Nothobranchius furzeri: one gene and its partner. The protein of the gene in region 1 purifies or fractionates together with the protein of each later gene. This does not show direct contact. Links are inferred from orthologs where the notes say so. Each region holds a gene or a part of one and is shown on either strand. Other genes may lie near its edges.

What was found.
Region 2: the proteins of kdm8 (region 1) and RCC1 domain-containing protein 1 purify together in Homo sapiens (co-immunoprecipitation; 3 studies listed by BioGRID and IntAct, counting the BioPlex papers as one, with this or other methods). This does not show direct contact. The link is inferred for Nothobranchius furzeri from reciprocal best matches to the Homo sapiens genes KDM8 and RCCD1.

Annotation. Positions count from the first base shown.
Region 1 is NC_091745.1:4,850,805-4,855,937, forward strand, and holds the start of kdm8 (lysine-specific demethylase 8), read left to right. Parts: upstream 1-1,911; 5' UTR 1,912-2,042; intron 2,043-3,134; 5' UTR 3,135-3,157; coding exon 3,158-3,607; intron 3,608-3,813; coding exon 3,814-3,849; intron 3,850-4,281; coding exon 4,282-4,454; intron 4,455-5,058; coding exon 5,059-5,133. UniProt on the Homo sapiens protein: Bifunctional enzyme that acts both as an endopeptidase and 2-oxoglutarate-dependent monooxygenase.
Region 2 is NC_091744.1:74,256,392-74,261,864, reverse strand, and holds RCC1 domain-containing protein 1, read left to right. Parts: upstream 1-2,364; 5' UTR 2,365-2,451; coding exon 2,452-2,650; intron 2,651-2,721; coding exon 2,722-2,916; intron 2,917-2,997; coding exon 2,998-3,157; intron 3,158-3,231; coding exon 3,232-3,353; intron 3,354-3,427; coding exon 3,428-3,532; intron 3,533-3,812; coding exon 3,813-3,974; intron 3,975-4,051; coding exon 4,052-4,081; intron 4,082-4,445; coding exon 4,446-4,612; 3' UTR 4,613-4,797; downstream 4,798-5,473. Other genes in the region: unc45a (protein unc-45 homolog A), read left to right, coding at 1-49, 138-265, 341-407, 490-603, 677-792, 943-1,060, 1,134-1,289, 1,387-1,656; calcium and integrin-binding protein 1, read right to left, coding at 4,911-4,932, 5,016-5,104, 5,212-5,330, 5,412-5,473. UniProt on the Homo sapiens protein: Plays a role in transcriptional repression of satellite repeats, possibly by regulating H3K36 methylation levels in centromeric regions together with KDM8.

The DNA.
Region 1 (5,133 bases):
TCTGAGCATGAAGTCGTGCCTGAGAGCATGTGGAGGAACAGTGTTGCCAGACTTGTGACCTTCAGCATAGCCTCACACGGTCTTACAACCACGAGTTGGACATTGGTGAATAATACATCAGTCTCCCCTGCTGGGACCACCTCAGTCGCTCACACCACCACCGATGCACAAACACAACAGTCCCGTCATGTTGTGAGGTTTGTCTTTCTGAGATTCCCACACAATATAATGAAGGCAGCGTGTCTCACCTGCTGTGGGCTGATGGATCACAGTGTACATTACAAATACAGGCAGCGACCTGGCTCTGAGGCTGTCTTACATATTTCTTACAAATCCTCCTGGAACCCCAGCTTGTGTTTGGTATGAATTTCATTCATTTTCCTTCTAGCTAGTTTGGATTTGTAGGATGTCATAAATGTGGAAAAGCACGTGTTGCTTTGGAACATTTAAATAAAACAGAATAGACTTCATAAATCCCACAGTGGGGAAATTCACTCGTTAGACCAGCACATTCATTTGGTAGTTTAAAAGTTCTTTTAAATATTGACACCCCCCGCCCCCAAATAACAGTTTTTACTTATTTTAGATTCCAATCAAGTGTCCTCAAACAATAAAAACAGTTCTAGCACAAGAATCCAATGTTGTCTTTAGGGGCCGGAGTCCTGTGAGGGTGTGCAAAGATTGCCTCTTAATTTGATGTCATTTAGCTGATATTACATGCTGTTTATCTGCATTTCTACTACATTCATGACCAGATTCATTTCCCCATTCCATTAGCAGTTGCAAAAGCATAAAAAAAATCAATCACACAGCTTTTTTCGCCATCACATAGGCATTTCCCACCTTCATGGAAGTAAGTGAACAATAGACTGAGCCACAAGGATTCTGCTGTTTACACAGTCAGAGTGAACAGAGATGCTTGAAACATCTTAAAATCCCCTGTGATTCCAGGAAAGGCAGCACGTCACTCAGCCCCGTCTGCTTTACATACAAGAACAGCTCTGCGCTTTCCACTGAGATTATTTGAATTTCACAGAATGTTTGACATTTGATAATAGTGCTGAGAGTTTAGAGATTCCACACTTCCACTGCTGAAGGTTTTCCTTTCCTGTCGTGTTTGTTCAGGCCAGCTCCCTGCAAAAGAAGAGAGAGAGAGAGAGAGAGAGAGAGAGAGAGAGAGAGAGAGAGAGAGAGAGAGAGAGAGAGAGAGAGAGAGAGAGAGATGAAAAACCCAGAAACCCGAATGTGACATCAAAAAGACAAACCAGATTATTGTTTTAGCTTCATGTGAGCAGACACAAATCAGTAAGCCCTCTAGGGATAGGTGTATTTACACAACATACAATCATGAACAGCAGGAGCTATGAAAGGAGAGAGAGCGAGAGAGAGAGAGAGAGAGAGAGGGGGGGGGGACGGACAATGTCAGTTCTGCCATCATTTATCATGACAAGAGTTTTCTCAACGCAGCACAGGGATCAGACAATCTGGTCCACCTGTTGTTGAAACAGATGTAGATGACTTGACGTGTATTTAAATGAGGCTTTGTTAAACTCATTTTGCTCAGCTTCAACCGGTTTAATAACAGAGAGCTCAGAGGAGAGATGAACGAACTTCTGAGCTGCAACAAGACTAAGATGTGGACAAATGTGAGTGTGTGGGAGTGTGATGTGGGAGAGTGTATAGATAGTAGGAAACTGCCCACACATGAAAAACAAGTGTGTGATTTCAGTTTGTAGCAGTCCAGCTTGGATTTCCACTTACAGTACCCTCTGCTGGACCAGACGGTGAATTAATGCTTTTTCTGTGTCAAAATCAAAGACTTAACATACCATGATCATTGAAACTCTTCGGTTTGTGATAAAACTGGATTTTATGATTAATCATCCCTATTTTTGGAGCCATTTCACAGTTTTGACAACACCTACTAAAAAGTGGAACTGATATTTCCTGCAGCTCCGGTTCCCTTCCGGTGTGTTTTTGTTGTCCCACCGCTAGCTGCAGCCGTGTTAGCGTGGCTAGCGATGTAAATAAAGACAAAACAGGTAAATAGTCGTTTTTACTTTGCTTTTTACTAAACAACTGTTCTGATTTTAAGCTGGGGTTTATTTTAAGGTGCGGCGCCTTCAAAATAAACTAAAGTGGCTTTTTATATTTGCAACATTGTTTAAAAAAAGTATAAATGCATTACAACGTTCACAACGCGTTAGCTGATTGTAAAAAGTTGTTTTACCTTTAAGGAGATTTGAGTTTTTTGAGTAGAAGTTTGGTCACATTAAAAAGTTTTTAATTGATTACGTAATATACTTGTCTTAAAGTCAGGGAGATTTGGCAACAAAAGCCTTTTAAAGAGCTCAAAGCGAATTGTGTCTACATGTCTGCAGTTGTTTAACATTTTGTTTAAAAGATGAAGGTAACTTTTGTTTACCAGAGGAATTTCAGAAATATTTTGTGTAATTTTTAAATGCCAGCTCTATGTTAATGTTTTCCTCTTTTTCTGTTTGGCTCGAGTGTTTCATCTATTGGCATTTCTGTCTCTGGGAACTGCTGCAGGGCTGCACCACCCTTTAGACATGTGATATATTAACTAAAAAAAATCTTAATTTTGGAACAATCTAGCATGCATTTGCGTTCACGTGGTTGGGATTTTCTATTTTCAAAAGAGTCAGGTGCACAAAGTTGGCTGCCTCAAGCCTTGGCAGCACCTCCAGCATCACAGAGCAGCATCCAAACATGGATGGAGTCACACAAAGACAGGGCTGGCACTTCCAGAGAGCGCCGTCATTGTGCATGTGTCACACGACCAGTTCTGGCTCAGGATGTCCTCACCTGTGTCTGCCAGTTTGGAAATTAGGAGCAGACTTCTGTTTTCATGCAGCAGAGAGAGATTTTTCATTAATGAAATAAACAAGAATCCAGTGTATGTGTGTGGTGGTGGGTAGGGATTGCAGATTGGGCCACTGATGAGCCCAGCATGCAGCCAAGCATGCATGTGATTACATTCCAGCCCATACCTCTGAAAAGTGTTGGCTTTAATCCAAGTTAGACTTTCCATACAGTTTAGCTACAACTTTAGCTTAACACTGCATTCTAACATTTTGCGATGCTTTGGCACTTCTTGTTTCTTCATTCTACAGAATACAGGAGGACCTAGTTGTCAATGGAATCCTTGTGGTCAAAACTCTCAGCTGCTCTACCGATTAATGAGGAACAGTTCCCTCTGCAGTTCAGTGACAAAGTGGAGTCGAGTGTGGTGGAAATGCTGACGAGATCCAGACACCAACTGTACAGCACCACAAGAAGCAACAACCAAACTCTTTATGCTCAAGTCGTTTTGGACATTTCATGGGAGAGACTCAACACCGGAACATGGCGTGATGTGGACAAGGACTGGAGGCGACTTTACTCCTATGGCTGCCTGTTTAAAGTGGCCGCTTTATGTCGAGAAAGTCCATCAGAGCACGAGATCCTTCAGGCTGTCAGGACGTGTGACATGGGTTTACTCATGGGCGCGGCCGTCATGGATAATATACTCCAGGTTTTTGTTCGGATTCTGCAAAGTGAAATAAGAAAAACCACTAAAGAAGAAACGGACTATGTTGAAGCCAAGGTCAGCTGGCCAATTTATTTTATCCTTTAAATTAGCAAATGTTCAAGTAAGTTAGAGGAACGTGTTTTATGTGGTGTTGTTGTGAAACTCTTGATTTACATTATAATCAAAAGTTCAAGGCTGATGTTGTGGAATAGACTGTAGAAAAGTTATTTTTTATAAAAAGTATCTCCCTTCTTGCCCTTCATCTGGGTGCACCTCATCAGATGTCACTGAAGATGAAGTGCCACACATTCTCAAAGGTCAGATCACTTTGTTTAGACGGGGGTTGGCTGCTGCTTCTGTTTTTTTTTTTTTTGTTTGTTTTTTTACTTGATTATACATTTTTAGTCTGTGCCCTGAAAATGTCAACCTAAAACTGTTGAAGCATCCAAAGAATCTGTGAGTAATTCTTTACAAAGCAGGGCTGTGATGGCTATTTATCATTTTTCTATACCGGCTGTTTTAATCTGGTCTTTAAAATGTCACAAACATGTTATTAATAACAGTTGTATGTTCATATGTTTCCTTTTTGTTTCGCCAAGTGTCCGTTTGAAACAAATTGAACTTTTATATTTGGTAAAGGAAGTCAACACACCCTCATAAAGACCCTAAAAGTTTAAAACTAGGTCATTTTTATTATTAGACTGAAAATGACCCCCCCCCCCCCCATTTATTTCTGTCGTCATTACCAGAGAATGAAGATTGTGGTCCCACGTGTTCCTCCAATCAAAGAAGAGTTGGCGGTGGAGAGGATTAAGTGTCCTTCTCTGGAAAGCTTCAATACAAAGTACTTGGTTCCTCTCAAGCCGGTGATTTTAGAAGGGATAATCGACCACTGGCCCGCCCTCAACAACCGTCCCTGGAGGTTTGTCTCATCAGAATACATTCTCCTTCAGCTGAATGTTGTTATTCCCTGTTATGTGGCTCGTTAGCATGTTTATTTCTACGTGACAATCACCATGTTCCTTTATAGTCCGCATGTTAAAACACTCGGGAGTAGTAAAGCAAGTTTGACTACAAGAGTCTTACTCTGTCAGAATGAGCTTTTCAGAGTTAACAAAACCCTCCGGCGATGTGGAATATAACAGCCCCACTTCCATTCAGTCCAGCCGTGTAATCAGACTGATCTGCTCTTGTGACAATAGCTAAGTGCACTTTTCCAGCTGAGAGGACAGAAAGCTGGAGGACTCTCAAAGGGACAGCTGACATGTAACATACAGATTTCCAGTTATTGTGGTTTATTTAACGATCTAAGTTTTGGGTTTTTTCCTTCATAGTGATGGCCCAGGTTGATTAGCTCACCCAGACACCCTCGTCTTCTCGTTTTCATTCTTAGTTCTGACTCAAAACTCTTGGGTTCTGTTTCTCATCCAAAAGTGGTCATTTAACATATTTTGGTGCACCACTTAAACCACAATGATCAGTGTGTTTTGGTGGATTGTGTTGGTAATTGTCTCCCTCCTGCAAAGCTTAGAGTATCTGAGGTCGGTGGCGGGCTGTCGGACGGTTCCTGTGGAGGTGGGGTCCAGGTACACGGATGAGGA
Region 2 (5,473 bases), on another chromosome or scaffold:
GGAGCTGGCCAAGTATGCAAAACAACACGTCCCTGAGGAGCATCCCAAGGTGCTGCAAAAGTTTTATGCCAGTGTTTATTGATTTGTCTTGACACTTTGTGTCTCTTTGCTTTAATTTTGCTGCCTTCTCATGTCAGGATGCACATTCTTTTGTGGAGAAAAGGGTGGTTAAGCTCCTGGAAGCTGGTGTCGTGTCTGCCTTGGTGTGCATGGTCAAACAGGAGAGTCCGGCCCTCACCGAAGCCTGTAAGGAATGTATCTCCAGGTAGGAAGTGAAAAGCAGACGTCTTTTCTCCGACTATTCTTTTTGTACATATCTCAACACACTTTGTCGTGGCAGAGTGTTCTTGGCTTTGGTGGAGCGGCAGGAAGACAGAGGCACTGTAGTGGCTCAGGGTGGAGGAAAGGTAGAACAGCGTGATCAATTTTTAGAACGGATCCTGAATTTTCCCTTCAGAAGGTGATTTATGTTTCTGCTGTCCTAAACAGGCTTTGATTCCTCTTGCAACTGACAACACAGATGTAGGAAAAGTCAAAGCAGCACAAGCCCTCGCAAAAATAGCCATCACGTCTAACCCAGAGATTGCCTTTCCTGGAGAGAGGGTAGGAATGCTGACAGTACCTCGGACTACGCCAAGTAAACACATTTTTCTTATTTAATCTGCTTTTTTTGTAGATCTATGAGGTCGTGCGCCCACTTGTGAACCTTTTGAGACTGGAGTGCACCATGCTGCAGAACTTCGAAGCACTGATGGCCCTCACCAACCTGGCTGGCATTAGTGAAAGACTCAGGTTGGCCACTAGGGGGCAGTCACTTCATAAAAGCACACCTAAACACAGAGAAATGTTTCTAATTTTATTTAATATTTTCTACTCGTCCCTCATGACGTTAAAATTTACAAAAACAAAACCCACCACTTTAATTTCTTTATTTTGTCTCAGACAGAAGATCATAAAAGAAAAAGCTGTTCCGAAAATTGAAGGCTACATGTTTGAGGAACACGACCTGATCAGAGCGTCTTCTACAGAGTGCATGTGTAATCTAGTTCTGAGTTCAGAGGTAACACTCGTGTTAAATGATAAAATCCATGACTCAGTCTGAGAACGGTGTGAGCCTAAATCTGTGTTTTCAGGTGCAGAAGCTGTACTTAGCCACAGGGAATGATCGGCTGAAGCTGCTGGTGCTTTACAGTGGCGAAGAGAGTGAAAGGCTTCGGAAAGCTGCTGCAGGAACTCTGGCCATGCTGACTGCTGAACAGCCTGAGCTCTGCACCCGCATCCCTGAAACTGTAAGAAAAACTAGACGTTTAATTTACACAAAAACTAAATAATCTGTTCTTTACATTTGTTTTTTTTTTTTTGTTTGTTTGTTTTTTTTCTTCTCAGACAACCCATTGGCTAGAGATTCTGCAGGCTTTGCTGCTCAGTGAAGTTCCTGACCTACGGCATCGTGGAGTGGTCATTGTTCAGAACATGATGCAGGCAGAGAAAAGCCTGGCTGAGACCCTCATGGAGAGCGAAGTTATGGAGATTCTTTCCGTCATCGCAAATGAGGGGACAGTGGATCCTGTCTCCAAGATCGCTCTGGACTGTCTGGATAAAGCTATTGAGTACGGCATCATCCAAAGTAGGGAGGAGAAGGAAAAGGGCAAATGAAGGGCTGCAGTTGTGGGTGTGCCTCTCTGCTGTCTTAAGTGCTTTTAGATTTCATTTGAAAATGGGAGTCATTTCATTTATACCAAAAAATGTGTTTCCTAACTTTTTAAAATCAAAAAGCAGTGAAGCAATAACAAAATTAATATATAACTGTAAAACCATTACACAAATATTGTCAAATGTAGAATTTTTCACTGATTGTGTTTTTGGAGCTGGTTGTAAGGATATAGACCAGCCCTTGCACTTTTTTTTTCTCGTCGACCAATCATTCTATTCCAAACTGAGTTTCTTTAATAAAGAGGACATTCCTAGATGGTTTAAACATTTTTACACAAACATGCTGGCTAATCATTTTATTTCACAACCAGCCGGATGTCATATTTTGCATCGCCATCACTAGTTAGAATATTTGTGCTTGTCATTTTTATAATACATTATTTCAGTTATTACTACTTCACTACATTCTAAGAGATTTAAATGTGTGATTTGTGTGTCTTTCATTAGTGTGCACAGATTGAAAATAAATATTTCTATTGGAATTAACCGTCCTGTCTCATGTCTGTTGCATCCAGGTATGGTTGTGTAAACCAACAAGATGCTGTTAACACATCAGTGGAATATCAATTACACATGGAGGAAAAACTGAAATCATGGATTTCTGCTTTGAACATCCCCCTAAAGAATAACTTACCATTTGCGCATGCGCGCTACTTCCGGGTTCTTCCGCTCTTTGTGTGTTTTGATTCCTGCGTTTCGTCGCTCAGGAGACTTTCTTAGGATTTAAGAACGAATTAAATGAGCTGGTTTGGTTTCGGCTTCAATGCTTTTGGACAAATATGCGTCCAGGAGAAATCTGTTCAAGAGGAAACCAGCGACGCGGTCGGAGAAGTCAAAGTTAGCGTCCCTGTAGAGCTACGGAGTCACGTGGACCACAGCTGCTGCCTGAAGACATGTCAGATCAGGGCGAGCTGGAGTCGAAGAGCATGTCTGCACGGTAGGTTTCTACCTATTTGACAGGAATATGGTCTTTATGCGGATACAAACTAGTGTTTTCTTATTCTTTAGAGAGCAGATGTGTGTGGCTGGCCGGTTTTTCTGCATCCAGCATCTCCAACGATACCAGGGGCTGCAGAGATGCAATCATCAGTGAATCCCACCTCACTCTTGCCTTCCCAGACCGAATTGAATCCTGGGATGTGCAGAGGAAAGATAAAACTCCACTATGGAGCATGGAGATCATCCCCCAGTCAGAGAGCTCTGGTATTTGGATATTTGAGTGTACTGAACATCAGAAAATCACCACAAATATGCTGTTACATGTTTTCTGTCATTTTCATACAGGTGTGAATTTGCCATTGGTACCTGGTGGTTACATAGCTTCCAAGCCTCCCATCTTCCGCTCCTTGGCTCCTCACCTGCAAGCCAAGAGCCTGGCTCTGGGGGGAGATCATGTCATCCTTCTGACTGCCCCTGGAGCTGTCTACAGCTGGGGACTGGGCAGGTGATGCCAACACTGACTTATAATGAAAATCGGAGCCCCATTCTTCTGCATTTATTAATGTGCTCATTTGACAGCCATGGTCAGCTGGGACATGGGGGACTCGTCTCCGAGGAGGAGCCGAGGACAGTAGAGGCTCTGTGGGGCGTGCCTATGAGCTCTGTGGCTGCAGGAGGCTGGCACTCTGTCTGCATCAGCGGTATTAAATAAAAGGGTTACATCAAAGACACGAGTAAAAATAAATAAATGATAGATAGTAACTGTGCTTCTTAGAAGGAGGTGACCTCTATGTGTGGGGCTGGAATGAGAGCGGACAGCTGGGACTTCCGTCACGAGGGCTACAAAAAGCTCCACAGCAGAAAAAGGCTCAACCAACAGGTTTGGCATTAGAAAATTCAAGTGTTAGATTCTAGACTTTTTTTTTTTTTGAGATTGCAAAAAAAAAAAAAAGTTTAAAACAACAGAACCTTACTTAACCTGTGTGTGTGTGTGCGTGTGTATCAATGAAACACTGTAAAGCGCTTTAGAGTCCTCTGACTGAAAGACGCTATACAAGTACAGGCCATTTATCATAATTTGAGGTTAATTATCTAAAATTCTGAGATATATATATATATATATATACATACACATACATATATTGGTTTGTTTTATACAGAACTGTCTGATGTCAGTACGCCAGAAGAGGAGCCACATGATGGAGATAAACACGAAGAAGTATTTATTTCCATCCAAGCATTTCCTGCGCTGCTGGATGTTAATCCATCATCTGACTTCCAAAGAGCCAGCTGTGGTTCCCGGCACACGGCTGCAGTAACAAGTACCTCAGATATAGATTTAAGCTGAAACATTTTCTCAATGAGGGCATCATTAATACAGCATATCTTTCTATTTCAGCCTCAGGCTGTCTGTTCACTTGGGGATGGGGTAAGTTCGATCTCACTAAAGTGTTGAATCTAAATACAATCACAGCCCTCAACAGACACAGAACTTCAATAACCCGCAAATGATTTGATGTGTTTTAGGCATATAGTTGCATCTTTGGTTTTATGGCTTTTAAGCTTATATCTGTGTTTTTAGTTTTTTATGATTTTTTATTGTATTTACTGTTCTATGAAAGTGTGAATGATGAGGTGGATGACGATGAGCCCTCTTAAAGACAAATTTCTGTAACCGCTTGGTGTCAGACAATAAAGTTGTTCTATTCTTACAACAGGATATCAACTCAAATTGAAATTTAATATATTATCAGCAAATATTAAGCTATTCTTTTTCTGTTCTTGTCCCCCAGGAGAATACGGCCAACTTGGACACCAGACATTTAACAGTTTAGACGAACCGCGACGTGTGGAGTTTTTTAAGGCCAAGGACCTGCATGTTGTCGATGTGGTGTGTGGGCCGTGGAACACTTTTACTGCCGCCGTCAAGAAGGGAGTACTTGATCTCAAAAATACCTGACAATCCCCTGAATCTGCCCCCACGTTGGACTTTGGTCGGCGTACAAGGAAGTCTAAATTACATCAGAAAGTTACGCTGTGGAAAATGTTTTGTAATAAATTATTTGTGTCAATGAAGAACTTTAGTAATCTAATACCTTAAACTTTTATTTTAAAGATGTTATAAAATATATATATATATATAAATTTCACAAACAATTCATAAAATCATAAGAGTAAAATCCAGAAGTAAGTAAAATTTAAAGGCAAGTATAGTTTTTCACTAAAAACAAAATTAAAAGTTGGCCATTTCCAAGGCCTCACAGCACAATCTTGAAAGAACTGTGGGGGGAAAAAAACAATTGTGATGATTAGAAAACATTTCCTCAAGATTTATGTGTCAGATATTATTTTGGGAAAACCACCTGACAAAGTCTGGAGATCTTGAAATGACATGCTGAAACTCCGAGAGATTCACCGTCCCATCCTTGTCGATGTCTGACTCTTCAAGGATCTAAACAAAAGCAAGATTCATTTGTGCCCAGATGATGCCTCAGAGCATCTCTTTGGAGTGTGCTTCTTGCATCTTTGAGAGAAAAAAAACAGTCGAAGTGAACTCACATTAGTTATGAGCTGTCTCATTTCCTCAGTGGTTAGACGCGAGTCTTCCGACTCATAAGTCAAGCAGTCAACCAGCTTCTCCAGATCGCCACAGCTGAGGGTCCCATCATTGTCAAAGTCTGAAAATATAAAGCTAATGATCAGACAAGATCAGTGCAGCTAAGAAAAAACTGACCAGCTCGTGTTTTATCAACATTTACCAAATATACGGAAAGCATAGTGGGATTTTATTTCCAACGTAGCCGAGTCACTGAAGGCACTC